Linked DNA regions of Tamandua tetradactyla. Each later gene encodes a partner of the first gene's protein in a complex. Links are inferred from orthologs where the notes say so. Each region holds a gene or a part of one and is shown in the gene's direction. Other genes may lie near its edges. The genes, in order: GINS4 and MCM5.

Region 1 (16,110 bases):
TTAAGGTCCATAAAACTGCCTCCAATTGTAAGATTCATAAGATATCTCCCTACATATTCCTCTAACTGTTTTATGGTCTTAGACCTAATGTTTAGATCTTTGATCCATTTTGAGTTAACTTTTGTGTAGGGTGTGAGATATGGGTCTTCTTTCATTCTTTTGCATATGGATATCCAGTTCTCTAGGCACCATTTATTGAAGAGACTGTTCTGTCCCAAGTGAGTTGGCTTGACTGCCTTATCAAAGATCAAATGTCCATAGATGAGAGGGTCTATATCTGAGCACTCTATTCGATTCCATTGGTCGACATATCTATCTTTATGCCAATACCATGCTGTTTTGACCACTGTGGCTTCATAATACGCCTTAAAGTCCGGCATCGCTAGACCTCCAGCTTCGTTTTTTTTCCTTAAGATGTTTTTAGCAATTCGGGGCACCCTGCCCTTCCAGATAAATTTGCTTATTGGTTTTTCTATTTCTGAAAAATAAGTTGTTGGGATTTTGATTGGTATTGCATTGAATCTGTAAATCAATTTAGGTAGGATTGACACCTTAACTATATTTAGTCTTCCAATCCATGAACACGGTATGCCCTTCCATCTATTTAGGTCTTCTGTGATTTCTTTTAGCAGTTTTTTGTAGTTTTCTTTATATAGGTTTTTTGTTTCTTTGGTTAAATTTATTCCTAGGTATTTTATTCTTTTAGTTGCAATTGTAAATGGGATTCGTTTCTTGATTTCCCCCTCCGCTTGTTCATTGTTAGTGTATAGAAATGCTACAGATTTTTGAATGTTGATCTTGTAACCTGCTACTTTGCTGTACTCATTTATTAGCTCTAGTAGTTTTGTTGTGGATTTTTCCAGGTTTTCGACGTATAGTATCATATCGTCTGCAAACAGTGATAGTTTTACTTCTTCCTTTCCAATTTTGATGCCTTGTATTTCTTTTTCTTGTCTAATTGCTCTGGCTAGAACCTCCAACACAATGTTGAATAATAGTGGTGATAGTGGACATCCTTGTCTTGTTCCTGATCTTAGGGGGAAAGTTTTCAATTTTTCCCCATTGAGGATGATATTAGCTGTGGGTTTTTCATATATTCCCTCTATCATTTTAAGGAAGTTCCCTTGTATTCCTATCTTTTGAAGTGTTTTCAACAGGAAAGGATGTTGAATCTTGTCAAATGCCTTCTCTGCATCAATTGAGATGATCATGTGATTTTTCTGCTTTGCTTTGTTGATATGGTGTATTACATTAATTGATTTTCTTATGTTGAACCATCCTTGCATACCTGGGATGAATCCTACTTGGTCATGATGTATAATTCTTTTAATGTGTTGTTGGATACGATTTGCTAGAATTTTATTGAGGATTTTTGCATCTATATTCATTAGAGAGATTGGCCTGTAGTTTTCTTTTTTTGTAATATCTTTGCCTGGTTTTGGTATGAGGGTGATGTTGGCTTCATAGAATGAATTAGGTAGTTTTCCCTCCGCTTTGATTTTTTTGAAGAGTTTGAGGAGAATTGGTACTAATTCTTTCTGGAATGTTTGATAGAATTCACATGTGAAGCCATCTGGTCCTGGACTTTTCTTTTCAGGAAGCCTTTGAATGACTTATTCAATTTCTTTACTTGTGATTGGTTTGTTGAAGTCATCTATGTCTTCCTGAGTCAAAGTTGGTTGTTCATGTCTTTCCAGGAACCCCTCCATTTCCTCTAAATTGTTGTATTTATTAGCGTAAAGTTGTTCATAGTATCCTGTTATTACCTCCTTTATTTCTGTAAGGTCAGTAGTTATGTCTCCTCTTCCATTTCTGATCTTATTTATTTGCATCCTCTCTCTTCTTCTTTTTGTCAATCTTGCTAAGGGCCCATCAATCTTATTGATTTTCTCATAGAACCAACTTACGGCCGTATTGATTTTCTCTATTGTTTTCATGTTTTCAAGTTCATTTATTTCTGCTCTAATCTTTGTTATTTCTTTCCTTTTGCTTGCTTTGGGATTAGTTTGCTGTTCTTTCTCCAGTTCTTCCAAGTGAACAGTTAATTCCTGCATATCTGCCTTTTCTTCTTTTCTGATAAAGGCATTTAGGGCAATAAATTTCCCTCTTAGCACTGCCTTTGCTGCATCCCATAAGTTTTGATATGTTGTGTTTTCATTTTCATTCGCCTCGAGGTATTTGCTAATTTCTCTAGCAATTTCTTCTTTGACCCACTCGTTGTTTAAGAGTGTGTTGTTGAGCCTCCACGTATTTGTGAATTTTCTGGCACTCCGCCTATTATTGATTTCCAACTTCATTCCTTTATGATCCGAGAAAGTGTTGTGTATGATTTTAGACTGAATTCTTAATGTTAGATGACTTATTAATTCCCATCATTTTCAAATTCCTAAAAAAAAATTATTGTGAAAACAAAAACTTGTATTTGTCAATATAAATTATCAAATCATAAAAATTCTGCACACCAGTTAATATCTTCAGTGTCACGAGGTGCTTTGACAGTATAGATAAAATACCCACCACCCTGGGATATCACTCAGGGCCCCAGTGTCAGTTTCCTTTAAGCCTTCATCCCTATTTGTCCCTTTGGTTTTGTTAATTGTCCAGAGGCACTAGTCTCCGGGCTCTGCTAGTTTTAATTACACCCAAAAAACATGAGAAATAGCGCTTTATTCTGCATACAAGTATGTGAGTGGGGCTCTAAAATAAATAAATAAAACTTCCAACCTAGACACAGTATACAGGCCAGGGTAAAGTTCAGGGTCAAACTGAATTTCTCACTTAAAGTAAACATGTCTAAGATAATGCAAAGAGAAGGTGACAGGAGAACTTTGTAATTTCATTTTTCCACAAACAGGGAATGTCCGACAGAATTTCAGCCCTCACAGAGCTTTATGGGTCACATCCAAATCTTACTGGTTCAAATAAGTTAGCAACTCAAAGAATGGCAGCTGCTCACAGCAAGATCAGCTAGAATAGATCAAATGACCCAAGGCTTCTGGTTTCAAAAAATACCAACTCTGGGGTATAATTAACACAATTTCATGACAAAATTTCAGCTCATATTATTTTCATAGCTGAGCTGAACATAACATAAACTGAAAAAAGCTAATATTTTCTCTTACTTTGGGGTACCTGTAAGGTAGGATTCTTACATTATTTGTTTTGAGCTAATTTCATAGTAAAATATTCAGTTAATGGTATACGTCAAGAAACATAATTAATCACCCCATAGTCTTACCTTCTCATAAATAGGGGGTGAATTTTGAACTCAGTTAATTAAGATGCTTCCATTTACCAGTGAGAAACCTGTAAGAATTGTTTAAATGAAGAAACCTAGACATGAAATCAGTATGTTTTTAAGATATCACAAATTTAAAATTTCACAAATTCCTATTTCAAGCCAGGTCTTTTATTCCTTATACTTTAAGTGTTGACACTTCAGGAGAGTTATAATTTTAGATGTTCTATGTAAAAATGAAAATAATAATGGCAATAATTGCAATATAATTACATCTCTATAATTCTAATTAGAAAATTAGGAACGTGGGGAAATTTTTAAATAAATCAAATGAATGTTGTTTTAGTTTGCTAGCTGTCAGAATGCAATATCCCAGAAATGGAACTGCTTTTAAAAAGGCGGAATTTAATAAGTTGCAAGTTAACAGTTTTTAGGCCGTGGAAATGTCCCAGTTAAAGCAAGTCTATAGAAATGTCCACTCTAAGGCAGCCAGGAAAAGATACCTTGGTTCAAGAAGGCCGATGACATTCAGGGTTTCTCTCGCAGCTGGAAAGGCACATGGTGAACACGGTCAGGGTTTTTCTCTTGGCTGGAACGGCACATGGTGAACACGGTGTCATCCGCTAGCTTCCTCTACAGCTCCCCCAGGAGGTGTTTTCCTTTTTCATCTCCAAAAGTCACTGGCTGGTAGACTCTCTGCTTCGTGGTTCTGCAGCGTCCTCTGTTGCAGCTTTCTCGTGGCGCTCTCATTCTTCTCTGCTCTCTCTGAATCTCCTGCTTTCTCCAAAACATTTCCTCTTTTATAGGATTCCAGTAAAGTAATCAAGACCCACCTGGACCCACCTAATCCAGTTTAACACCCAGTATTGAGTGAATCACGTCTCCATGGAGATAATCTAATTAAAGTCTCCAACATACAGTATTGAATAGGGATTAGAAGAAATGGCTGCCTTTACAAAATGGGATTAGGATTAAAAAATGGCTTTTCTAGGGTATATACATCCTTTCAAACTGGCACAGATATGAATTGTATTCTAAGGGTTGCCCCCACAGGGAAATACTATTTCAATAAACTTTAGTCTAAAATAGGATGACCCATTCCATTAGTTATATGAAATTCTCAAAATAGTGTCCATGTAATACTTTTAAAGACACTAAAATTAATAAAGGTGGAAAAATAAATTTTGTTACAGGGTACATTCTTGAGCAAGGCTACACTTTCGTGCTTGAAAAAATTCAAAACTTTTCCTATGACTACATTTTAGAAAAGAGCATTACCCTAAGCTGTAAGCATTTAGAAATACTGAGTTTGGTCAGGTTTATCTTTGGAACTAAGGACAATTCTCCAAAATAAAGTGTATGGACTCTAATAAGCATGAAGACATGCCGGCACTTAGACAAATGAGCCTTTTACGGCCATGACGTAAAGGCAAATGAATTTCTTGATGGAAATGTCACATTTCTCTTTGACCCCAATCCAGAAACTTAGAAAAGATTATTTTACTCAATCTGCTAACTATGTTGGCAACAGTATATCGATGATAAAATAAAAGAGAGAGAAAATTCATGATCATTGTATATTCTGCAAGGAGCAAATGACAGTATAGTTTTTTGTATTGCTTCCTCACAGGGTGTCACGTTAGCTGTCTTGGGACTTATTCATTCTTTTAGCAAACTATGATCAATGTCACCTCCTCAGGGAAAGCTGCCCCAAACATCTTTAGAACCATATTCTAAAATGTCCCCATCCTCAACATTCTCTATCATTTACTGGATTTGTTTTTCTACATCGCGTTTTACCTCCATTTGACAAACAATTGTTATTTGTTTATTGTCTGTCTTCCATCCCAGGGTGTGTGTTTCCCATTCACTGCTTTATCCTTAGCTCCAACACAATGTCTGGCAAAGCAGATCCTCAAAAGCATTTGTTGAATGAAGAAATGAATGAATGAATGAATGAAAGAATGATGAGCACTCCGCAAGTTTGGGGGTTACCTTCAGGGAATTCACAGTCTAATGTGAGAAAGACATGTTAAAATTGCAATAGAGCATAATAAATGTTTTATCAGAATCTTATAAGGTATAATGGTGACCAAAGGTGGGGGAAGATGTGTTAGGGATGGTTTTCGGAGGAAGAGATACTTTAAATGGGTCTTAAAGGATGAATAAGAGTGCACTGGGTAGATAAATGGAAAGAAAAAAATTCAGAAGGAGGAAACAACAGGTATAAAGAAAGGAGGCAAAATACCTCATATCTTTAAGTAGTTCAACATGACTGAAGCAAAGAGAATGCAAGGGAAAAAAAGAGAGAGAGAGTGCAAGGATGGAAGTCCCAAACTAAAAGAAAATTAACAGCACTAACTTCTCAGCAAGAGGACTAAAACCATACCAGCACCTCAGTATCCTCCCTACTTCTCGCAAGAATATTGTGCCAATGTGAAACTATTTTGTATCCAAGTTCCAATACTGATCCAATCTTGTGGGGCCAGACCTACCGTTTACGGTATGATCTGTTGCTTTGATTACTTCCATAGACATGTGACACACCCAATTGTGGGTGTAGCTTTTTGACTAGATGGAGATGTGACTCCACCCATTCAAGCTGGGTCTTGATTAGTTTACGAGAGCCCTTTAAAAGGGGAAACATTTTGGAGAAAGCTCAGATACAGATGCTTGGAGAAGAGGTGCTTCAGAGCTGACAGAAACACGGATGTTTGGAGATCCTTGGAGTGCCGACAGCGAGAGCAGATGCTGAGACATGGGCAGAGCCCAGCAGATGTCATCATGTGCCTTCAAGAGGTGCCAAGCAAGCCAGAACCTAGAAAGAGTCACGGGAAGCCAAAAGATGAAACCTAGCCCCAGAGAAGCCAAGTGAGGAAACCCACAGGAACAGTCGGAAAGCAAAAGAGCCCAGGAGCAAGGCATCAGCAGATGTCAGCACGTGACTTCCCAGCTCACAGCTGTTCTGGACAGCATTAGCCTTTCTCGAGTGAAGGTAACCGCTTGTTGATGCCTTAATTTGGATATTTTCATTGCCTTAGAATTGTAAACTTGTAACATAATAAATTCTCTTTATTTCTTTTCTGGTATATTGCATTCTGGCAGCTTTCACAAACCAATACAAATATGTACTCTATCCTCCAGCAGAATTCTTTGGAACTAATCAGAATTAAAGAAGCAGAGGCCAGACTCTAGCTCCCTAATAGAAGAGCAGGAGGAGATTAGAAAAGTCAGGTTAGCACTAGAGAAGGAAGTCCCTAAATCAGTAAACTATTGGTACTTCCGTGTAGAAGTTATCTGTGCCAGAGTAAATATGAGAATACTTGGCCTCAAATCTATAACACTTAAAGAATATTAATAAAAAAACACTGAATAACTATGTGGTAATGATAATTATGGAAGAATGGAATTGTGCACAGTAATCTAATGCTGCAAAACAAACCACCCCAACATTTAATGCAAATATTTGTTTTTACTCACAAATCAGTAGTCTGGGCAGGGTTCGGCAGGGACAGCTCATCTCTGCTTCTCTCCATGTTAGCCCTGGTAGCTCTAGGTCTGAGAACCATCTGAAAGCTCATTCACTGAGACAACCGGGGAATGGAAACACTGGGGCTGCTGAGCTCTTCTCTGTCTCGCTGTGGCCTCTCTACATGCTCTTTCCAGCATGGGAGCTTCAGGGTAGCCAGACTTCTCACATGTCAGCTCACGGCTCTCAAGGGACATGGTTCAAGAAAAGGAGAGCAGGGTGGAAGTTGTATCACCCTTATGAGAGTGCCTTAGTACTCAAGCAGTATCACTCCTGCCACATTCTCTTGGTCAAGGCAATTACAAAGGTCTTCCCAGATATAAGAGGAAAAAAAGATGGACTTCACCTTCTAATGGAGGAGTGTCAACATCACATTGTAAGAGGACCACATGGGATGAGATATATCTTAGGGCAGCTCTCTATGGAAAATGCAATCTGACACAACTAAAACGTGCTGGATTACCAAAGTAGAGTTTAAACGAACCTTGAAAAGTCTATTTGTCATTAACAAAACTCGTTCTTCAAGATGTGGCCCAAATACCCCTTTCTTTTGGGAATTTCCCTTGGTAAATATGCCCACTCTTTCACTTGGAATATTCTATGTAATTATTGTTTATAAAAGGACTGTAATCAGGTGGGTTCTAGCAACCTGTCAATTGGTCAACTTTTTTCCCTAATAAATCAGTATGGCACATGAATCATCACAAAGAAAAGAAGCTTCAGACTGATGGGGAAGAAATATTTATAGAGAATCCAGAGTGATACTTTACACAGAAAACAAAGGAGAGCATCAGCAATTCAGAGACCAAAAAGCTGACATCTCACAAAGAAAAAATACCTATATCGATATCCTTATGTCCTTGTTGTTCCCCCTGCAGTAAGAGCAGAAATTATAAGCAGCCTAAGTCAAAATAACCTAGAGAATTAAGCAAACACCTGATGTAGTAGCAAGGCTGGAAGCAAATTGCCTAAAGCAGTGGTTCTCAAACTTCACCTGCATCATGATCACCTGAAGAGTTTGTTAAAATAGTGTGTTGTGTCCTATTCCCAGAGCTTCTGATTGAGTAGGTCTGGGTGGGCTTGAGAACTTGTATTTCTAGTAAATTCCCAGAATACGTTGTTGCTTGAAGTGTGGGAACACACTTTGGGAACCAGTAGTCTAAAGGTTTTTAGAGGAGCTGGGGTTAAGAGGGGCCAGCCTCTCCAGAACATCAACTAGTTCCATCCCCCTACCCCATATTATTGACAGCCCTTTCCAACATTTAAAAGTTAGCATGGGCACAGTCTAAATACCCCTGAAAACAGGGAGAAAGATCAAAGGTGATGGTGGAGTTATACAGAGAAGATAGGATTTAGCAAATGAGTATGACTGTGGAGTCATTATATTGATATTTCTTTTAGTTTCCAGTGTCTCGGAGTAGCTAGAAAGAAAAACCTAAAATTGTGGAACTATAAACCATACCAAACTCTGAAATCTGTTTTATATCTAATTGTGGCAGTGTGTTTTGAGATTTATTGCTTTTTTGTACATATGTTATTTTTCACACACACACAAAATTTTTCTCATAAAAAAAAAAGGAGAGGGCAGTGCGACAGTGGCTCAGTGGCAGAATTCTCACCTGCCATGCCGGAGACGCGGGCTCGATTCCCGGCGCCTGCCCATGCCAAAAAAAAAAAAAAAAAAAAGAAGAAGAACTGGGATTAATGGTCGTAGCTGAAGCCCTACAAGAGAGGTCAGTGGAAAAGATGAAACAAGAGGCTATGGCCTAAAACTAGCACAACACACTTCTCCATCGGACCCACTGCTGGTCCAAGGTATATGCAGACGCTTGCTCCCTGGTGGCCCGAAGGCAGACAGCGCCGCATCTCGGAAGAGCGGTGGCAAGGCGCCCCCTCCCGACAGCCCTCGTACTGTACCGCAGGAACCGCACACGGAACAGCAGCCCAGGTGGGCGGAGCTAACGCCGAACCAGCCTCCCATCGCCCTTATTCGGAGTGGGAAGATTCTGAGAGTGAACTGCGCATACGCAAGACCCGCCCCTTTATATTGGGCGGGGTCAAGAACGCTGCCTGTCCCTTCTCCCGAACTCTGATTGGTTTAGCGCCTTCCGTACGCGGTGACGTTGTACCTGCCCGGAGTGTTTTCGAGACGTGCGCGGGAGCCGAAAACCCGGGAGAGTTGCTACGTCCCGGAAAGGCCTCGTGCGCGTTGCTCAGCTGTGGTTCCGTTCCCAGATTCTGTGTGGAAGAACCTGGGCTGCCTCCCCGCGATTTCCCGTTCTGACCGCTCGCTACTTTGGAGTGCCTATCTGCCGCCCAGTCCGCGACTGCGTGTCCGAGTGGGCCCTGAGGTACTGCGCGAGCTGCGTGCGTAGGGGGAAGTGCTGCTCTGGGTTCTCCGCAGCGAGAGGGGCGGGACGGGAGGAGTAGGCCCTCAGTTTCCCTGAGAATCCCCGCGGCTCCCCCCCCGCCGCGCACCACACAGCTTTCTCAAGCCTTTGGGGTCAGTGACTGGTCGGCGCCCCTGGGCCTGGCGAAAATCGAGCATTGATTTATTCCCCAACGATTTTAAGTACTTGCCATGAACTAAACTCCGTACCTGCACGCGTTGTTGTCTCCCACAACTTATAAGTGCCAGGCAGTGAGCACAAGCGCAGTTCATATTTGACCTGAGGTAAGCACAGCCCTTGATGACAAGGAGATCTATCGGGAAGACCAAACAAAACAATAATTATTTTATGGTGTGATAGGTGCTCAGTTCCAGGTATACACAGCGGGAACAGATACGAGGGGCTACCTCTTTGAGAAACTTATTCTCTGACCTAAGCTTTGAAGGAAGAGGCAAAGAATTGAAAAATCCAAGTCTGTGAATTCTCTAGCCACTACTGTTGAATCTCTGCAATCCCTTGTAACCCTTTCCCTTCTCCAGATACAGTTGCACTGTATGGTAAATAAATGGAAAACACATTGCGCACACAATGTGTTGGTTCGTTTATGTTCGTTAGGTTCCTGGTTTCAGTGAAAATGACAGAGGAACTGGATCTCATGGGACAGGATTCTGATGGTAGTGAGGAAGTCGTCCTAACTCCTGCAGAACTCATTGAAAGGCTGGAGCAGGTAAGCATTCCAAATAAAATCCCCTTGCTTCAATCTTAGCCTTTTTAGTTAGTCTAACTATACTAATTACAGACTTAGAAAGTAAAGAAATAGAATTCAAGACTTACTTTATTTCAGAAGAATAAAAGCTGGATCTTACCTCTACACAGAAATAGAGGAATATCCTCTATTAGAAATCCCATAATGTCAAATGCAGAGTTATCCAGTGGAGTCAGTAAGGGACAGCTTTGGGCACATTTAATAGAACAGTGCAGAGAACAAGAATGTATTTCATATTTTGGGAGGACTGCAGACATGTTGTGGTAGAGACTTGTAGGCTCCCCTATCTTAATCCTTTGAAGCATTTACTGGATTAGCAAGAAAGTGTCAAAACACCTTTTTTTAAGAAGGAAACTGGTCTTACTCTTCATTTTCATTCGAAGTATCTTCTTGAGTCAACTGTTCTCTTTATTTACACTAAATTGTCTAAAAGTCTGTTTCAATTTGCTAAAGCTGCCTGAGTGCAATATACCAGAAATGGATTGGCTTTTATAAAAGGGATTTATTAAGTTACAAGTTACAATTCTAAGGCTATGAAAATATCCAAATTAAGACACCAATAAGAGGATACCTTCACACAAGAAAGGTCAATCAAGTCTGGGATTTCTCTGTCACATGGGAAGGCACATGGCAATGTCCTTCTCTTTGGGCTTCTGGTTTCAAACAGCTCTCTCACCATCTCCCAGCATCTGTAGTTGAGCTTTCTCCAAAATGTTCTCTTAAAGGACTCTAGTAAGCTAATTAAAAACCCACCTTATGGGGGTCACATCTCCATGGAAATAATCTAACCAAAAGATCCTGCCCATAATAAGTCTGCACCCACAAGATTAGATTAAAGGAGCATGGCTTTTATGGAGTACGCAACAGTTCCAAACCAGCACAAAGTCCTAAAGTAATTTCTAGACTATCGTTTTAGTCATAATTGTGGTTTGTTGGGTACATCCTGTGTTCTTTCTAGGAATTGCATTATGTTCTTTACAATTCATCAGGCAGGCATTTTTAGAGTTCAGGGTCTGGATTTAAATACCTCTATGTCTTTGACCTATTATTTAACCTTAAACAAGTTATATAGCTTGTCTCAAGCCTTTCCTTGACTGTAAAATGGATGTAATAATAGCAGCTACTTCACGTAGTTAGGAAGATTAAATAAGATAAAGTAAATGAGATATGTAAAGTGCCTAGCTTGTTGTCTGGCTATAATAAGCACTCATTAAACGTTAGCTATTAGTAGTAATAACCCTCAAAACAACCCTGTCAGGCAGGTATTACTGTTACCCCATTTTAAAGTTGAGGAAACTAAAGCTTAGAGATGTAAAGTAACCTGCCTAAGGTCACACAGCTGGCAGCCGAGCCAAGATAGGAGCTCAGGTCTCTTTGACTCCAAAACATGGTGTTAAGCCATTATACCTATTGCCTTATTCCCTCTTTTCTTCTCCCTTTAACTGCCCTTTTCCAGAGCTCTTTCGTGTTTGTTACTTTAGTATTCTTCATTCTTTGCTGCTGTGTTAGTTTGTAAGCTACCAGAATGCAATATACCAGAAACGGGACAGCTTTTAAAAGGGGGAATTTTTTTTATTAAGTTGCAGGTTTACAGTTCTGAGGCCGTGAAAATGCTCAAATTAAGGCATCCCGAGAAAGATACCGTTCAAGTTTACAAGCTGCCAGAATGCGATATACCAGAAACAAAACAGTTTTTAAAAAGGGGAATTTATTAAGTTGCAAGTTAGCAGTTCTAAGGCAGTGGAAATGTCCAAATTAAGGCAAGTCTGTGTAAATGTCCAATCTAAGGCATCCAGAGAAAGACACCTTGGTTCAAGAATGCTGATGATGTTCAGGGTTTCTCTCTCAGTTGGAAAGGCACATGGAAAAACATGGTGACATCTGCTAACTTTCTCTCCAGGTTTTTTGTTTCATGAAGCTCCCCCAGGGGCATTTTTCTTCGTCTCCAAAAGTCTCTAGGTATGTGGGCTCTAATGCTTTTCCCAAAATGTTTCCCTCTTAAATGGCTCCAATAAGCAACCCCACCTTGAATGGGTGGGAACACAGTCCATGGAAACCATCTAATCAGAAGTTACCACCCACAGTTGGGTGGGTGATATTGCCATGGAAACGATCAAAAAGCTCCCACCTGGCAATATTGAATGAGGATTAAAGAACTTGGCTTTTCTGGGGTACACAGCAGATTCAGAGTGGCACAGATAACTTGATGATGTTCTGGGTTTTTCTCTCAGCTGGGGAAGCACATGGCAATGTCTACTAGCTTTCTCTCCAGGCTTCTTCAACAGCTTCCCCAGGGATGTTTTCTTCATGCATCTCCAGAGGTCTCTGAGTGTGGGCTCTGGTGGCTCTTTCCAAAATGGTTCCCTCTTAAAGGGCTCTAATAAGCAACCCCACCTTGAATGGTTGAAGACATATCTCCATGAAAACCATCTAATCAAAAGTTCCACCCAGCAATATTGAATGAGGATTAAAGGACATGGCTTTTCTGAAGTACACAACAGATTCAAATTGGTACGCCTACCGTACATGTCATTATGAGTGACAAAACCCAAGAATATTAATTTAAAAATTATATCTTGTATGATAATCTTTACAGTGATTTGTAATCTGTTATTATGTGTGCTGGTTTGAAAGGATATATGTCCCCTAGAAAAGCCATGTTTTAATCAAAATCCCATTTCATAAAGGCAGAATAATCCCTATTCAATACTGTATGTTTGAAACTATAATCAGATCATCTCCCTGGAGGTATGATTTAATCAAGAGTGGTTGTTAAACTGGATTAGGTAAAGACGTGTCTCCACCCATTTGGGTGGGTCTTGATAAGTTTCTGGAGTCCTATAAAAGAGGAAACATTTTGGAGAATGAAGGAGATTCTGAAAGAGCAGAGAATCCTGTCACACTACAAAGCAGAGTCCACAGCCAGTGACCTTTGGAGATGAAGGAGGAAAGCGCCTCCTCCTGGGGAGCTTCATGAAACAGGAAGCCAGGAGAGGAAGCTAACAGATGATGCTGTGCTCGCCATGTGCCCTTCCAGCTGAGAGAGAAACTGTGACTGTGTTCGCCCTGTGCCTTCTCACTAGAAAGAGAAACCCTGAACTTCATCGGCCTTCTTGAACCAAGGTATCTTTCCCTGGATGGATCCCTTTGATTGGACATTTCCATAGACTTGTTTTAATTGGGACATTTCCTCGACCTTAGAACTGTAAATTAGCAACTTATTAATTTCCTTTTAAAAAGCCATTCCGTTTCTGGTATGTTGCATTCCAGCAGCTAGCAAGCTAGAATATTATACTACAGACCTCTTTGAGAATCCAATGAAAATTCTGGCCCCTTTTTTCAGAGTGATGTACATATGCATTATTTCTGTAAGAAATAAGAAAAGTATGGAGCATGAAGGAAAAAATCTCATTTAACTACATTAAAATTAAGAACTTCAGTTTATTAAAAGACACCTTGCTGAGAGTAAAAAAGACAACAAAACTAGAAAACATTTGTGATATATCTGACAAAATACTAATATTCACAATACATAAGCAATCCTTACAGACAAACTGCTAGAATAATGAAGTCATAACAGGCACCTCCCAGAAGAAAAAACCAGGATGGCCAGTAAGAATATGAAAAAGATGTTCAACCTTTTTACTAATCAGGGAAATTAAAGTCAAAATCAGTAAGGTAGCATTTCATACCCATCAGATTGGCAGAACTGAAAAAAGATGAACAACATAAAGCATTGGCAGAGGTGTAGAATAATTTGAACTCTTATATTATCTGCAAAGGGGGTGTGACTTGATACAGTCATCTTGGAAAATAATGAAGATACACATACCTCGTAGCCTAGAAATTCCACTCCCAGGTATTGGAGTAGTGGAGGTAGTGGGAATCTAAAAATTCTACTCTAGAGAAAACTTCCACATGAATTCCAGAAAACATGCACAGAATGTTGATAATGTTGCTTGTAATAGTTAAAAATTGAAAATAACCCAGATATCCATCTAAAATATAATAGATTAAAATATATATATATATGGTATATATATATTTAATGAGGGAAGAACAGCAGAGAAAAGGAGTAAACGATAGCTCCTGCACTATCATGGTGACTCTCAAGAACATAATGTAGAAAAAAACACAGGTTGCCAAAGAAACCATTTATATAAAGTTCAAAAATTTGTTTAAGGCTGAGCATCCCACCCATGTAATGTGGCACATTGGTGTCCTGCCAGTGCCTCACGATGTTCACCTCTCAGTACTCTGGACATCCAGAGCCCCATGTTAGTTGCCTCTTCCAGGGAGTCATCAGAGACCCCTCTGATGACTCAGACTAGCAGTGGGTGAGCTTCAGTTTCAGTGAGTGCCAGGTGCTCTGTGGGAATGCCCTGTGCAGCCAAGGAGATGATCTGCCACCTGGACAGCTTCTGCAGCCAGATAGAGGTCTTAGGCTGCGTGGCACAGCGTAGGTAAAATCTGATGGAGACACTGGATAAGGCCACAGCTCTATGCACATATATAGGATACTCTTGAGTGCCTTTTTAAAACATGATTTAAAAGTTATTAGCTATAGTGCAGAGTTTCTTGTTTTAATGAAGAACAGATCATCCTTTAAAAATTATCATAATTTGACAGTATGGATGAGCATTCCCCTAAATGTGGTCTGCTATGCAACTGTACTATACAAACACCGTCATTTTCTTTCAGTGTCCTGACATGAAAAAATTGGGAGGCACTATGTAGAGACACAAACAAATGTAGTGAAACTGTAAAGAAAATTAAACACTAAATTCAGGCTAATGATTATCTTTGAGGTGGCAGGAATGCACAGGGACTTTTATTTTTTTTAACTGTGAAAGATAACATATACAAAAAAAACCAATAAATTTCAAAGCACACTGCAACAATTAGTTATAGGACAGATTTCATAATTTATGGGTTACAGTTCCACAATTTTTGGTTTTTTCTTCTAGCTGTTCCAAGACACTGGAGACAAAGAAATACCAACATAATGATTCAGTAGTCATACTCATTTGTTAAATCCTGTCTTCTCTGTTATAACTCCAGCTTCTCCTGTGAGCTTTCACCCAGTCTTTAGGGGTATTTGGGCTATACCCATTCTAACTTTTTCGTGTTGGAAAGTGCTATCAGTAATATGGATTAGAGGGATAGAACTAGCTGATGTTTTGTAGAGGCTGGCCCCTCTAGATTTTAGAAAGTCTGACCTAGGAGAAGGTTGTAGGTTTCTAGAAAGTAATCAGAGTGCATGGAACCTTTGTAGAATTTCAGATAGAGCCCTAAGTGTTCTTTAGGGTTGACAGAAATGGTTTTGGTTGTGGTTTGGCAAACTATCATGAATAGAGGTATCTAGCTGCTTGATTTTTGAAGTTTACATTAGCATAGCTAATGAAGTTTACATTAGTGTAGCCTCCAGAGTAGTCTCTCAATTCTATATGAACGTTTTAAACCACTGGTACCTTATTTATTACTATTATTTTCCCCCTTTTGGTCAGGAAAGCATTGTTGATCCCACAGTGCCAGGGCTAGGCTTATCCCTAGAAGTCATCTCCCATGTTGCCAGGGAGACTTTCACCCCTGGATGTCATGTCCCATGTAAGGTGGAGGGTAATGATTTCATCTGCAGAGTTGGGCTTAGAGAGAGAAAGGCTACATCTGAGCAACAAAAGAGGTCCTCTGGAAGCAACTCTTAGGCATAACTATAGGTAGGCTTAACTTTTCTGCCATATTAAAAAATTTCCCAAGAGCAAGACTCAATATGAAGGACTTGGCCTTTTGACTTGGGAGTCACATGGGAATTTTTGAAATAACAGCAGTATTCTTTAAGTTGTATGTGAATAGGTGTTTGTATCACTATTCTGCATATTTAATATGTATTTCATAAATACTCTTGTACCTATTCAAAATTTAATAAAATCAGTTAAAAAGAAAAATTACTTCATAAGTCCTTTAAGACAGTTTGATCTTTTCTTATTCATTAGGCTGTTTAAAAATACAGGTTGTCTTTCTGGTTAATTTTATATATATGCAACACTATTACAGAAGCTCAAAGACTTGAGAGCTTTTTATGTATAGTAACAATATCCAGTATTTAATAATGTGTCTTGATGGTATTAACTGGAGAATCAGCAACTCAGGGAAATCCAAAGAAAGAAATTGAGCTGATTGACTTTTT
Region 2 (15,838 bases), on another chromosome or scaffold:
TGCTCAGAAGGCCCTGGACTTGCCCAGCTCTGGCGAGGGCCTGGCTTTCTTCACCTTCCCCCACATCGACAGCGCCACCAAGTTCAAGCAGCTCTACCGCTCCCGGATGAATTCCCTGGAAATGACCCCTGAGGTCAGGCAGAGGGTGATCAAAGAGGCCAAGACCGCGTTCCTGCTCAACATTCGGGTAAGGGTCTGGCAGCCCAGGACAGCCGCCTCCTCCCCAGCCACTCATTCAGGGGAGGCTGCTCTTACTGTAGGCAAGGATGCTGTGGGTTATGGTTAGGTGCAGGGATTCTGGGGCCAGGGTTCCGGTGCTGCCACTGTCTAGTTAGGTGATCTCGGGCAAACCCCTCAATCTCGCTGAGCCTCAGTTTCCCCATCTGTAAAACAGGAATAATAATAATAGCTACCCCTTAGAGTGTGAGGGTTAAGTGAGTTTGTATCGATAAAGTTACCAGAACAGTGCCTGGCACAGAGTCAGCCCTCAGGCATTGGCTGCCATTCTTATGTGTCATGAGAATGATACGATACACCCATACAACCGCACATAAGTTGTTTGTGCACTTGTGCATAGCCAAGTAGGCACTGCAGGGGTTACAGGTGTTACAGATGTGGTCTCTGCCTTCTAGAGACTCGCAGCCCAGCCAGGAAGACAGAGACATCTTCCCACAAGTGCTCAAATCCAGGGAGAAGGTGGGGACTGAGCAAGGCCTTGGAGGATGAGTTCTTGGGCAGCACATGGGGTTGGGTGTCTTCCATCCCAGATGTTTCAGAATCCTGCGCTCTCCCCACTGCAGGAGGCGCCATGGGGATTGAAGTCCTAGCTCCTACCCTCCTTGCTCTCCATTCCCCAGCTTTAGATCACAGAAGAGACTGGACCAGGTGCCTGCTAGGGGAGACTGTCCCTCTCTAGCATCCTCCTAAAAGTTAATCCAGGCCATCCTCTGTGAAAACCTGCGTCTTTCAGAGAGAAGTAGTAGAATGAACTGATTATTTGAACTCAGAGCCCCTTTTGAGGCTGACTTTGAAATGAGACATCCTGGCTAGTCTTGGTTAGGGCACTTAACCCTGTGGAACTGCAGTTTTCTCATCTGCAAACCCAGGCCAATAAATGCCATTAAACACATCTTGCCAAGGATGATTCTTAGAAATAGAAAGTTGAGTGAAGAGAGCAGTCTGCTTAAGAATCCATATACTAGGAAACGACTTATCCATTGTATTGGGACATGGGGTAAAGGCATGAATGAGGCTGGGGAATTCTAAATGCAGCATAGTTATTACTGGAGGGCTGGGTGGAGTATTGGAGGTGAGGGGAGCATGGTGAGAAGATGAGTAAGCAGGGAATCCACCTGATCTCTTAAGCCTGGTGAAAGGTACATGGATATTCAGTATTTTTCTGAAGATTTTATGTCCAAAATATCTCATCATAAAACATCATAAAGTCTTACCTTCAGTGGGGGCCTAGCAGCATCTGTTGCTGAGACGATCATGTGTGTCTTTTGTCTTTCAGTTGTTTGAAGAGTTGCAGGAGCTGTTGACCCTGGAAGCCAAGGAACAGATTCCCCCAAAGGCAACAGGGCTTTACAGAAGGGAAGGCAGCAGGGTGCAAGGTGAGGCCACCAGGGATGGTTGTTTCCTCAGGGCCCCTGTTGGAGGGGACACGGCCCAGCTGTCTGTCCCTGGTATCTCCTTTGCTCTTCTGTCTTGAATGTTTTTAAATGAGAAGCGGGGTGCAGGAGAAAGAGCACAGAGTCAGTCTGATTCCAGTGTGTGACTCTGAATAAGCTGTGTCACCTTTCCACACCTGTTTCTCTAACTCAAAGGTTTCGGGAAGATATGCTAGTTGCAGAGAGTTCACTGGCTCTGAAGTGAGGACTTGTATACCAGGGACCCTTGGAAATCCTGGGTGAAGCTCCCACCTTCATTTAGTCCCCTTTCTAGGCCCTTTAGTGCTCCCTGAGCACCTGCTTGATATGAGGCAGGGAGTCGGGGCGCTGCCTGCAGCTGTTAACCTGCCATGGGACACTAGACAAGATACTTATGCTCCGGGCCTTGCCGCAGGTAGCCTCAGAGCTGCCTCCTTGGCAAGTTGCTTTGAGGTATCCCCCCTGGTGCATCTGTCCTGACTACTTGGCCTGTGGCTTTCCCACCTGCACCAGGACCCCAGGGACCCTGCTATTGAAAAGATTGTCCCCAGGAGGGTTGGAATGTGGCCAGTCCTGGGGAGGTGAGGCAGTGGTTCTCAAAGTGTGGTCTGGGTACCCCTGGAGGTTCCAGAGACCCTTTCAGGGGCCTCATGAGGTCAAAGGTATTTTTATAATGGCACCAAAATGTTTTTTGCCTTTTTTACTCTCATTTTCTCATCAGTGTGCAGTGGATTTTTCCAAAGTTTATATGATGTGTGATGATAGTCACTGATAGCTAATGACACATGTGCCAGTGTATTCATGTGTGTCAAAAACTTCCTGGTTTTAATTTTTAAAGTGGTTAACTTTAAAAATTAGATAGCTATAATCTACTCTTTGGGATCCTCAGTAACTTTTACGGGTGTGAAGGGGTTTTGAGACCAGAAAATTTGAGAACTGCCGCCCAGATGCATCAAAAGGAATGTAACAATGCTGAAGTGAGTCTGCTTGCTTGTGGCTGTCATGCCTGTAAACCCGAGCCCCAAATCCTTCCTTTCTGCAAGGAAGCACCTGTCATGGAATTTTACCTTACCTTCTCCTCTCAGTGCTCAGGGTGGAACTAGGATGCAAACCCAAGTGGCCTAGCCGGAGGGCCTGCTCTCGAACCCTGTCCTGCTCCTAAAGACTAGAGAACACTCATTCTGTGCATCAGTTGGTGCAGACGGCCCACCCAGGCTGGCTCCGGCCTGTCATGTGTAAATGATTGGGACTGGGACTGAATTTGAATTTTGGCCTCAGAGGTGCCCCCCTTCTGGCTCCTGCCTCGGGTAGCTTCTGCCCATCACCACCATTCCTCCCACATGTGTAAGAATCTGAGACGAGGAGTGACAGCTCAGACCTAATCATCATGGAAGCTTTAGGAGAGGGCCTTCCTAACAGAGATCTGAAAACATGACTGGGGTGCACGAACTTTCTCACAGTGTAGTCTGGCTGCAGATGGAATCATGGATGCTTGGAGAAGTAGTAAGCTCTCCATCCACCTGTTCTGGGAGCATTCTGGCATCAAGCAGGGATTGTACAAGAGACAGATGAGGCCCCTCTGCTTTGCTTTTCTGGGACGTTAGGCACCCTGATCCCCACCTGCCTATGGTTGACACTGTCCCTGCTTTCTCTTTCAGATTCCACTTCCACGGAGACTCCCAGAGGGAAGCCCCAGCCCAACATTCTCTCCCGGGCTCCGCTCATCCCATGGGTCCTTACATTCAGCTTTCTAGTGGCAACGGTTGCCGTGGGGCTTTATGCCATGTAAGTGTAGGCCTGCTGACTCCTGCGAGCCATGAACTTTGCCCAGTGGAGGGCCCTCTCCCAAGAGAAGAGGCTGGCTTCTCTACTTTGGGCATGGGGACTTTCCTAGGGCCCCCTGCCCTCTTCCTGCATCTCTCTATCTCTGGAAAGGAGGAAGGAGCCCTGTGGCATCTTCCCCAACCAAAAGCAATTCCAGCTCAATGACCTGAACTTTCAAAGTGGGACAAAGGACCCAGCCCAGACCTCGGCATCCCCAGTTCATGCAGCAGATCCCAGAAGATGTAGCCTGAAGTAGCAACTGTCCTGAACCTCCAAATGCCCTGGGTTCGTGGTCTTCTATTGATACAGCCATGATTGCTTTCTCCTGGGGCCATGGCAATTTTTATATAAATGTGCAAAGATGTTGTGTCTTGTGTTTCTTGTTTTTGTCGGAGCCACTTTTATTCCCAGCTCAGCCTGAACTGTGATATTTCATTGTGTTCTGTTATGTTCTATTATGTTTTTATAGCAGGGTTGGGAAGGGAGGTATTTTAATAGCACTGTGGCCTTGGTCTCTAACTTGTGTATGAAACAATAAACTACATTGGCTGATAGTAACTCAAGATGTTTTTCTTGGTCTCTGCTTCCCTTGGGGAACTGACCTTTTCCTCACTTCTTCTTGACTGCCTCGTGGGGAGAGGGGGTGCTCTTGTGTGTGTGGGGGGGTGGCAGGAGCAAATATTGTGCTGTTTTCTGAAAATATGGGAGTGAGCTTTAAACACTTGGTGGGTGAATGATTGTGTTGAACACTGTTTAATGCAAGACTTACATTCACCGAGGATGGGGCTGCCCTGTTAGGGTAAGATGATCAGATGCTGCGTAACATTTATATATTCTTAGGGTCTGGGTTGAGTCTCCTGGTTCGAATCCTGCTACTCCTCTTTGTATCTACACCTTTGAGCTTAATCACTAAACCTCTCTGGGGCTCAATTTTTTTTTATTGTATAATATAACATATATACAAAGCAAAGAAAGAAAATTTTCAAAGCGTACTTCAACTAGTAGTTAACAGATCCGAGAGTTTGTTATGAGCTGCCATTCCATCATCTCAGATTTTTCCTTTTAGCTGCTCCAAAACACTAGGGGTTAAGAGGAATATTAATATAATGATCCAACAACCATACTCTTTTTTGGGGGGTGGTGGGGTGGTGGTGATAATCCAAGAATTGAACCTGAGTCTCCTGTATGGAAGGCGAGCATTCTACCACTGAACCACCCCATACTCATTTGTTAAATCCCATTTTCTCTGTTATACCTCCTTCTTCTCCTTTAATCCTTCTCCCAATCTATAGGGATCTTTGGGGAATGCCTGTTCTGACTTTCTCATGTTGAGAAGGTGTGTCAACACTAAAGGATAGGGGGATGTGATTGATAATCCTGGAGAGGCTGGTTCCTCTGAGTTTCAAGATCTATCTGACCTATGAGCCATCTGGGAATTATATGTTCCAGGAAGGCAAACCTAGTGCATGAAACCTTTATAGAGTCTCAGTTTGAGCCCTAGGTGTTCTTAAAAGTCAACAGGAGTGATGTTGGTTGGCGTTTAGCAAACCATGGCAATTAGTACTATCAAATTGAAGCTTGCATAACAGTAGCCTCCAGAACAACCACTGGGACCCAATTTTATCACCTGTAATGTGAATACAGTGATACCATCTCATTGGCCTGTCAAGAGAAGCAAATGAGATGCACGTGATGTGCCAACACTATGGGACTTTAGTTCCTGTTGTGAAGGGAGGGACACCAATGTTTTGTAACACTTTACAAGTGATTGTTGGCAAGACTGTCATTCACTGTGTGAGTAACCTCACCTATAAATAGTCATTGTCAATATTAAATGATACCTAACAAATGTCATCTCATTTAATCCTCCCCGCAAACCTGTGAGGTGGGTGTTACCATTACCTCAGGGACACGTGACTTTAAACCAGGTCTTCCAGCTCTAAAACCCAAGCAAGACCTTTTCACTGCCCTGTACTGGAAAAGCCACTGAAATGCTAAATATACAGCCTCTTAGTGAAAGGGAAAATCCTTGACCAAAGGCGTCTGGACAGAGCAGGGGACAAGATCCTCGTACAACCAGTACATGAGGACTGGGAGCCAGGACACTTTAGTCCCTTGTCCTGGCTTTGTTATTAAGCCTGGGGGGTCTTGGACAAGTCACTCCGAGTTTCATTTTCTTCAGTGGTAAAATGGGTACCCACTTCCCACAGCTGGGGGGAGGACCCAGTCTGTGGATGGTGGCAGCAGAATCACCCCAAGGCATCAGAATCTTGTGGAATCCAGGGCCCCAACCTTGAGAGTTCTGATTCTGGAGATGTGGCATGGAACTCTGGAATTTATTTATGACGAACTCCCTGGGAGATTCCAATTTGTAAGCACGCCCAGAAGCCGGTCTTAATGAGATTACGCATATAAGGGTTAGGTAGTCAAATGGCAGCTACAGCTGTTGCCTCCTGGCCAGGTTTCTTCGCCTGTAAAAGGGGCCTAAGTATTTATTGTTTGTAGTGGGAATGAAGAAAGAAAAGAGGAAAAAAAAAACTTTTTGAGTTCTAACAAGAGTAGGGCTGAATCATTTGTGGTCTATCCATACTATGAAAAATTACATGGCTATTTAAAAGACTGAGTTAAATCCATCTATTGATGCAGAGGGATATCCATGAAGTATTCACGAGAAAACAAGTTCTAGATTTGACATTTTTAATTAAAACAGTCCCCATACATGTAAATACATGCTTGTATGAACTTGGCAAGGGAGTGGAAGGCCCTTTCCAGGTGTTCATGATGAGGCAGTGGGAATGCAAAGGCGTGGGGGAGATTACGCATTTCTTTTTAATAAGAATATCTAACAGCAAGCAGCCACTCTGCGTCAGGCGTCCTAATTCACTGTCACTATTTCCCTTTTACAGATGAGGAAACAGGAGCACTGAAAGGTCAAAGTAATTTGTGTAAGGTCACTTAATTAGGAAGTGGCAGACTGACACAAGAGCATGTGTAGCTGCAGTCATTAAAAAAGCTCTTAAACATTTTTTAGCTTCAGTCATTAAAAAAGCTCTTTTTAAAACGTAACACAATAAACTGGTTGTGGGAGGGGCTGGTGGGGGTGAAAAGCGCATATCTAATTCATATGGATTTCCAGGCAGCTAGCCCCAAAGAGCATTATTCAGTTAAGTGGATTCCCAATGACACCAGATTAGGCAGGAGGCCAAACCTAACAGCATCCAGGCTGGGGGCAGCTCTCTAAATAAGTTCTCCAAATCTTGGGGACACAGAGACTGTGCCTCTGAGTTTCTAATGTATCTTGAAGCACACTCTTTAGCACGGCTGCACAGAGGCATGCGTATTCACCCTTTCTGATAAAGGGGCAGGACAAATCAACCCCACAAAGAAGACATAAGATGGCAAGACTGGGTTGACAGTCTAATTCACACTTCCTCTCCCATCTTCGGATTTGATTTTTTCTTCTGTTGGTCAGCAATCGACATGAGTCACCCCAGGATGGGGCAGGGCAGTGTGTCAGCCTCTTCTAGAGGAAGAAGACATAAAGTTTCCTTGAAGGTTTGCTACGGCTCATCAGTCTGTAACGCTTTGGATGGGGCACTGGGAAATACAGGAGCAAGAAGATGGGAGAAAGGGGTTCTAATTTTGGATTTGTACACCAATTCACTTTGCCACTTTCAATTTGCCCCTCTGTGCCTTGATTTCCCCATCTGTACAATGAGGGAGTTGAAACAGAGGAAGGGTCACAATTCACGTGGGACCAGGCAGGAGCCCTTAACAGGAGACTTAAGCTGAGTGGCAACCCTGGTGAATGGGGGGGGCGGGGAGCTGATGCTCATCTAACCGATAAGGAATCACCTAGCTCCAGCTTACGTTGCTATTTTAGAAGGCAGGCCCCCTTTTTGTCAAATATTCCAATTTTCAAGTTAGGTTAGAAAGCTGGTTGTGAATTTTCTCCACTTTTTGACATTGCCAAATAAATAAAAACAATTTTTTTTAAAAAATCACCAATTGAGTCAAACAAAACATCCCTCAAATCAGAAGTTTGTGACGATCTTGATCCCAGAGGCTTTAAGACCAAAGGCGACTTATTTCTAACTAACTTTAAACCCTGGAGGCCATGTGTTAACATGGAAAGAACACGGAGCAGGAATGCAGGTGACCTGTATTCGAATCCTGCCTCTCCCCTCCACTAGCTATGGAATAGTGGGCTCCTCAGAACCAGCGGACTGGATCACACATCCGCAAGTGTTCACCTCTCAGGGCCCTTTTGTCCTGTTACAAAACGGGGCAAATGGAGCCGATAATTTCTTAACTCTTAGCTCTTGCACCCCACGGCTCTGAAAAGGATCATTTTCCCACCAGACTTTTAAACTGGCTTAAGGAAACTACAAAAGAAAACCGTCAGCGCTCCCGCTATCCGCGGATATCTGCGGATCTCCACCCCTCTCCGCCCCTCTCCACCCCTCTCCGTCCCTCTCCGTCCCTCTACGCGAGTACCGGTCCTTCCGCCATCTTCGTGCCCGCCCCGCCTCGGGCCTGGGCAGCCGCTGGTTTCTTCCCACTCAGAAGTTTCGCGCCAAATTGTCCTGTACACAAAATGGAGCCCGGAAGGAGACGACGTCTGACGTCATGCAGCCCCGCAGCCAATCCGCTTCGGCAGCCGGCTCGGAAGGCCCGGCTGGGGAGATTCCGGATTCGATCACGCGGGTACAAAACGGCCCAATCGCCGGCCGTGGGGACTCGGCCAACCAATCGGGGCGCAGCAGTCTCGGTCTCCGGACGCGCTATCTCGGTTTTCCCGCGAAACTCGGCGGCCGAGTGTGGGGCTTTTGGTTTCTCTGGGTCTGTGGAGCTCCGGGTGGGAGAGGTGAGATCGAGGGTCGTGGGAGCCAGCCCACGGCGGGTGTGTTGACATTTCATTTGGGGGTGCAGTGGAGTGTGGCAAGGGTTTTTCCTGGGAACACTGGGGTGGGACCCCGGGCTGGCGTGGGAGAGCCAGGGTCACACCCGATACCCCGACTTGAAGCCGGGAGCCCCCTGCCCCTCATTCGAAGGCGAGGACACAGGCGCGCGGTCCCCCACCCTGCTCTGACTCTCTGTTCCCGCGCCAGGTGCAGTCATGTCGGGCTTCGACGACCCTGGCATTTTCTACAGCGACAGTTTCGGGGGGGACCCTGGGGCCGATGAGGGGCAGGCCCGCAAGTCGCAGCTGCAGAGGCGCTTCAAGGAGTTCCTGCGGCAGTACCGAGTGGGCACCGACCGTACCGGATTCACCTTCAAATACAGGTGTGGGGGCTGGAGGGGTGGCTGGAGGAAAGGCGCACCTGCAAATCACTCTGTTCCTGGAGCTGGGATAACGGGCCATGTTTGGCCACATCTTTTCATTCAGACTCTTTTAGTGTCGTAGAGCCCAGGTGGGGAAACGTGAAGGAAGCATGTGAAGGGGCCTGTCCTGGTTCTTGGGGATTTGGGGTCCAGCAGGTGCTTTTCCCACTCACTGTTCCCTCCCCCCCCCATCCCCATGGCGTACAGTTTTGCATGGGGTTAACTTTTGAGTAAGTCACATGTTGAGTGAACCAACAACAAGCCAGCTGGAGCCAGGTGGACAGAGATGGCCCTTGGTTCTTTATCCTGGTGTTGTTCACTGTTCATATGCTTTTACTGTCTTTCTAGATGATATCTGTGATATCCTGTGGTAAACTCAAGTTCTCTATAGGTGTGAAAGGTGAGGGCAGTAGAAATGAGTCACTTCATTCATTTATTCAGTCTTGCAGCTTATATTGACTGAGCATCTGCTGCATGTCAGATACTGTCCCAGATGCCAGGCTATACAGCTCAGAGCAAGATGGGCAAAGTCCCTGCTCCTTGGTTCTTTTTACAAACCTGGGGCATGTCAAACCGTTGTAGGCTCTGCTCCTTTCCTTGAGACCTTAAAATACAGAGAACATATATTTGTTAAAGTCAGGCTCAAGACTGGACCTGACTAGTTATTAGCTGAGTAACTTTTCTGAGTGATAATCTTGCTAGGCTTCAGTTTTCTGTAAAGTAGATATGCTCATTCTTTCTTCCATTTATTCAGGTGACTTTGTAAGGTGACTTACAAAGGTGACTTTGATTACCTGCTGTGTGCTAGACCCTGAGATCCAAAAATGGTAATTGCCCTTGTGAAGCTCATAAATCAGTAAGGCGAGGCCTAGAGACCAGTGAGGTAATAATTACATCAAAGGAGAAATGTAGAAGGCAGAAGAGTTAAGGGAGGCTTCTAGAGGACCTGAACGTTGAGTTGACTTTTGGCAGAAGGAAGAGTTTCAGGTGTGGAAAGCATTCCAAGTAGGAGCAGTTTCCTGGGCAGAGGAATGGGGTGGCCTGTTTTGGTAGGGGACTCACAGTGGCCCCTAGACATAGTGAAAGAGGAAAGGGACCTGAGATGAGACTGGGAACAGGCTGTTACTAGATCAGTGGTCTCCAAAATGTGTTCTTAGAATACCTCCAGTGGGGTGTTGTATAAGGACTTTGGCAGTTGACAAAACAGACTAGGTCCCTGCTGGGTCAGATCTTCCCAGTTTGAGGAGTGTGTGTTGTTAGTCTCCGGGAGTGAGTTAAAGGCTCTGAGGAGTCCTTCAGTGAAAGAACTGGTTTGCAGCGAGTGTTTCCCAAACTGACCTGTGTGTGCACAGAACCCTTTCTTTGCACGTCTGTTAATACCTTCCAGTTGCTCGTGAACTGATTACTTGGAATTTCTTTGGAGAAACACTCCTGTTGGCATTGGGAGCCTTTGTAGGATTAAATAATAGAATGACCTGGAATGAGATGTGAGTTTGGAAAGAGGAGTAGTGTGTCAATGGCTACAATGTGGGGAGATTCTGGTGCACAGGTGTACCTCAGCCAGTCTTGGTCTTCTCTCTGTTTCTATCCCCACCCCACTCCACCGACCTTGCCCACCTACCCACTCCAGGGATGAACTCAAACGGCATTACAACCTTGGGGAATACTGGATTGAGGTGGAGATGGAGGATCTGGCAAGCTTTGATGAGGACCTGGCCGACTACCTGTATAAGCAGCCAGCTGAGCACTTACAACTGGTGAGTAGGTCTCCATCCCTGAGCGCTTCCCCCCACCACTGAAACTTGCCCTGCCTCCAGCCACTAACCACCTGTCCCCTGTCTTCTCTCCAGCTAGAGGAAGCTGCCAAGGAGGTAGCCGATGAAGTGACCCGGCCCCGGCCCACTGGAGAGGAGGTGCTCCAGGACATCCAGGTCATGCTGAAGTCAGATGCCAGCCCATCCAGTATTCGCAGCCTCAAGGTGGGTCTGCCTTGAGGCCGGTCCAAGGCTGATGGCAGCTGCTGCATGGCGGAGAGGGGCTTCACATACAGGCTGTATTGGGTGCAGCTTTGTGACCCTGAGCAAGTCACAACCTTTCTGAGCCTGTTTGCTTCTTTGTAAAAAGCAACTCATTGGACAGAAGTTTTCTGAGCTTCTTCAGGGGGTAAAACTTTGACTCAGGTCCTAGAGAAACATGATGAACTAAACTGACGAACTCTTGACCTCAAAGAATTAATATTCAGTGGGAAAATAGTAGGTTGGCTGGGAGTTTGTTTAACTTTTCAAACATTAATATGTTTAGAGACTAGCCTAAAGAATCCCTACATACTTATCACCCAGTTCAGTAATTAGCAACTGATAGCCAGTCTTGGGACTGTTTTGAAGCAACTTCCATGAATTGTGTAATTTCATCTGAAACTTTTGGTGTGCCTATCTAGAAAAAAAAAGAGTCATTTTCACACTTAAAAATTAACATTACTGCCTTATTTGGAGTAAGAATGGTCATAAGATGGGCAAATTTAGATAGAAGTGACTTGTCCCGAGTCTCTAAGCAGATTTTGGCAGAGCTTGAACTGGAACGTGGGTCCCCTGCCTCCAAGGCTAGTACTCTCTAGTACTGTGTGGGTCATGGAACGCTACCATTGGAGCTTGAATTTGGTCCTCATGACATCTGCCCCTTTGTAGCGAAATGTGCTACCTCCCTGCATTGTGCTGTGAGATCCTTAAAAGCAGGGGCCAAACTCTGCAAGGAGGATTGTTGCTCTCTTCCACTACACTGTACAAGCCATTCAGGGGTGAAAGACTCCCCGACAATGTGGGGCATGACTCCTGGGAATGAGTCTGGCTCTGGCACTGTGGGATGCGATCGACAGCGCCTTCCTGACTGAAAAGGGGGGTGTGGCCAGGGGGGTAAGTGTAATAAGGCGTCAGGGACCAAGAAAAATCAAATGAAGTCAATAGTCTGTTCTGGAGGCTGCTTTTAGTAAGCTTCAGCAGGATAGTGTTAATTGCCATGGTTTGTTAAACAGCTATCAGTATCCACTCCTGTTGACTCTTAAGAGCACCTAGGGCTCAAATTGAGAATCTATAAAGGTTTCATGCGCTAGGTTTGCCTTCCTGGAACATATAATTCCCAGAGGGTTCATAGGTCAGATAGATCCTGAAACCCAGAGGGTCCAGCCTCTCCAAGATTATCAGTTAATCACATCCCCCTATCCTTTAGTGTTGACATCCCTTCTCAGCATGAAAAAATCAGAAGGGCATTCCCCAAAGATCCCTATAGATTGGGAAAGGGATTAAAGGAGAAGGAAGAGATATAACAGAGAAAATGGGATTTAACAAACAAGTGTGGCTGCTGAATCACTATATTAATATTCCTTCCAGCTTCCAGTGTTTGGTAACAGCTAGAAGGGAAAATCTGAGAGGATGAAATGGTAGCCCATGACAAATTCTAGGATCTGTTCTATAACTGCTTGTTGACATGTACTTTGAAAATTACTGCTTTTTTCTTTCTTTGCTTTGTATTTATGTTATTATACAATGAAAAAAAGTTTTGTTTTGTTTTTTGCCACGCCTGACGCTCCTGCACGTCCATTGCAGCTTGGCTGTGGATGGATGCCTTGAAAACTGTTTTTCTGCTGAACAGAATAGCTGTCCTCCCCACCCCTCCTCCCCCAGCTCCATGCCTATCTCCCCCGTTCCTCACCCTGGACATTTCCCAACACATTTCAGGTCTCCCCCAGCTCCCTTTAACCAACACCCCTCTGTGGTCCTGTTGCAGTCCGACCTGATGTCACACCTGGTGAAGATCCCTGGTATCATCATCGCAGCCTCTGCGGTCCGTGCCAAGGCCACCCGTATCTCCATCCAGTGCCGCAGCTGCCGCAACACCATCACCAACATCGCCATGCGCCCCGGCCTGGAGGGCTACGCCCTGCCCCGGAAGTGTAACACGTAAGTGGGTCACCTATAGCCTGCAAGGCCAGGAGGGTCTCAGGGCTTGGTGTGTAGCTGCTTATTAAAGACCCCTGGGGAGGGCTGGGCAGATAGGATTAGCCTTTCTCAATAAATGGAAGTGCCATCTTTCCAGGGGTACAGGCCCCAATTTTTGGTGTCATAATATTTCTCCATTTTATATCTGAACCATCAGGAAATCCTTTGGTCTCTGCCTTGAAGTATGCATTCAGACCATTTCTTCCCTACCTTTGGCATGTTCTATACTATTTCCCCATCTCTTGTCACCTGGATCTATGTAGGAGCCTCTCCTGAGCCCCTCACGCCCACCCTTGTCCCCCAGTCACCTCTCCACCCAGCAGCCTGCGTGACTCTTTTGAAATGTAAGCAATTCATTCGGTTCCCAGCTCACTCAGAGTGAAGTCCTGCTGCGGCCTGCTCCCAGTTCCCTCTGGCACTTCCTCCCTTCTCATCCCCCTCTACCCGCCCCAGGAAGCTGCGTCTTGCTGTCCAGAAACACTAAGGTTACCCCATCTTGGGACCTTTTTAGAACTTGCCATTTCCTCTGCCCAGAACACTCTTTCAGCCTTCCACACACTCTGTTCTGACTTCCTTCAGGTTTCTTCTCAACTGTCACCTCATTGGAGGTGTCTCCCCTTGCGCTTTTTGTTTTACATTTGGCACACGCATACCTGGCCGCTCTTCCTCTCATGTGCCTACTTCTTTTCACACACCTTGCGCTACTTGTTACGTTATGTAGCTGTTTGCTGGTTTGTTTGTTTGTCTCCACTGATTAGACTTTAAGCTCCATACAAGCAGAGACATTTTTTTTACTTTTTAATTATTTTTAAAAATTTATTTTTAGTGCCTTAAAACAACCTGAATTTTTTATTTTTTGGTTCTGGAGATCAGAAGTCCAAAATCCATTTCACCGGATTAAAGTCAGTGTACTGCAGGGCTGCTTCCTTCTGGAGGCTCCAAAGGGAGAATCCGTTTCCAGGCAGTTCACTTTCTAGTGGTTCCCGGTATTCTTTGGTTTGGGCCCCTTCCTTTTCAAAGCACATTTCTCCAATATCTTTAGGCAGGGAGTTTTTGTTCATGGCTGTGCCCCTGCATCTAGCACAGTGCCTGGCATGTGGCAGGTGCTTTGCTTTGATGTTTGCTAGTTGATTTTGCTATAATGTTGAGTTTTGAGCAGAATGGTACAGAGAAGTAGAGCTGCCTAGAATCTCATTGGAAGAGTTCTTGGGATTTGAGTCGGGGGTTGCTAAGGTTGTTGACAATCTAGCTCCTGGAGCACAAAGGTCTGTGAGGGAACTGGGTAGTGACTTGCCTTCCATTGCCTGGCAAACTAACTGGAGAGGCGGGCCTCAGTCAGTTCTTAGATTCCTAATTGGTTCTTGGCCTCACTTTTGGCCTGTTCCTAACACCTTCTGGTGATAACTCACATTGCTGCTGGTCTCGCCTTGTGACTCATGGGATGGATGAGCCCCAGCTCTTGGGGTACCTCTGGTGACCAGCTCCTGCCCCTCTCCTCTTCATGCAGAGATCAGGCTGGTCGCCCCAAGTGCCCACTGGACCCCTACTTCATCATGCCTGACAAATGCAAGTGTGTGGACTTCCAGACCCTGAAGCTCCAGGAATTGCCTGATGCGGTGCCCCATGGCGAGATGCCCAGACACATGCAACTCTATTGCGACAGGTGAGGTGCAAGGGCTTGGAAGTGGGCATCAAGTGTTGCATGTCCCTGCACCTTACAGCAGGTGCTGGGCATGGATCGTGTGCATTGTCTGGAGCATGGTGAGTGGGCAGGGGACAAAGGGAAGAAGATGGTGGCTGCAGGGCAGTTGCTCTGGGCTTACCACTTCTTTTAGGTTTCATTTCTGATTTTCCCCATGACTTGGGTAGGGCATGGCAGCCCCCATTTTACAGAAAAGGAAATGTAACTTTGGAAGTTAACTAGCTTAATGGAGGAGCTGGGCTTTGAACCTACATCTGTTGCTTTCCAAAGCCCATATTCTTCCTAGGAGCATCTCCCCAGCCCTCTTAGAACTGAGAGGTTCAGAAAAATGTTCTAACATGCCCAGGGCGGCAAAGCTAGAAAATCAGCTACTGGAAAAGCCTATTTCCAGCCGAGTACCTCAACTCCCCCTGGGACTTACCATTAAAATTCTGCCTTGGGTTTGCTAAGCAAGTTGGAGAGAGGTTATAGGGAGCTGGGCCTGGGCCTGCCCCTTTGGTTATTGGGAAGAAGCTTTAGAGAGCCTTCATGAGGCTTCTTAACCTGGGCTTCAGATGCTCTGAAGTTGCATGTGAATGTTCTGTATGTGAAATACAGATATTTATTTGTAGGTGTAAATATTTATATTTCTATAAATTACATCTATATAATATATAAATATAACTTCCATCAGTGACAGTAGAGTGTGTAGAAGTCAGACTCTTGAGCATGTTACGTGAGTTTGATGAGCCTCAGTTTCCCCATCAGTAGAATGGGGGCAATGACAGTCCTTAACTCTCTCATAGGAATGCTGTGAGATTTAAGTTGGAAAATGCATGTCAAATGCTTGGCACAATTCCTGGCCTAAATTAAGTAATTAGTGTATATTTAGATTATTCTCCAAGGGGCATGTATACGTAAGCTAAAAAGCTTAAGTTGGAGGATATAGAAGAGAGGAGTCGGAAGCTCATAGAATGTTGAAGAGGACATCAGTGGTCCTTTATGAGGTGTGACTCTGCTTTAGAAACAACTTTTATATCTATTGTCTTGCAGGATGCCATGATAGTTGAGGCAGGCCTCACCTGACCTCTCACTTTATCATCCCCATAAAGAAACAGGCTCAGAGTGATTTCTTTGAGGCCACACAGCTGCAGAGTGACAGTACAGATTCAGGTCCAAGTCCCCTCCACATCAACTTGGCTCTGGTTAGAAGAGATTTAGAGACTTTCTTGTTCCAATATCTTACTTTAAAGAGAAAATGAAAGCCCAGAGGCAGAAGTATTTGGCTAAAATCATGGATCCTGAAAGAGGCAGAAATGGGGAGTACCTGTACAAGGAGGCTGGGAGGGAATAGAGGAAGGCCCCAC

The links.
Region 2: GINS4 (region 1) and MCM5 share a complex: the UniProt entries of both Homo sapiens proteins name them as parts of the CMG helicase complex. The link is inferred for Tamandua tetradactyla from reciprocal best matches to the Homo sapiens genes GINS4 and MCM5.

What each region holds. Positions count from the first base shown.
Region 1 is NC_135329.1:17,014,897-17,031,006, forward strand, and holds the start of GINS4 (DNA replication complex GINS protein SLD5), read left to right. Parts: upstream 1-8,888; 5' UTR 8,889-9,118; intron 9,119-9,772; 5' UTR 9,773-9,791; coding exon 9,792-9,884; intron 9,885-16,110. UniProt on the Homo sapiens protein: Required for correct functioning of the GINS complex, a complex that plays an essential role in the initiation of DNA replication, and progression of DNA replication forks.
Region 2 is NC_135333.1:27,758,623-27,774,460, forward strand, and holds the start of MCM5 (DNA replication licensing factor MCM5), read left to right. Parts: upstream 1-8,188; 5' UTR 8,189-8,340; intron 8,341-8,584; 5' UTR 8,585-8,592; coding exon 8,593-8,759; intron 8,760-9,066; exon of another isoform or gene 9,067-9,803; intron 9,804-10,428; coding exon 10,429-10,555; intron 10,556-10,648; coding exon 10,649-10,777; intron 10,778-12,578; coding exon 12,579-12,751; intron 12,752-14,297; coding exon 14,298-14,453; intron 14,454-15,838. Other genes in the region: HMOX1 (heme oxygenase 1), read left to right, coding at 1-187, 1,514-1,613, 3,308-3,438. UniProt on the Homo sapiens protein: Acts as a component of the MCM2-7 complex (MCM complex) which is the replicative helicase essential for 'once per cell cycle' DNA replication initiation and elongation in eukaryotic cells.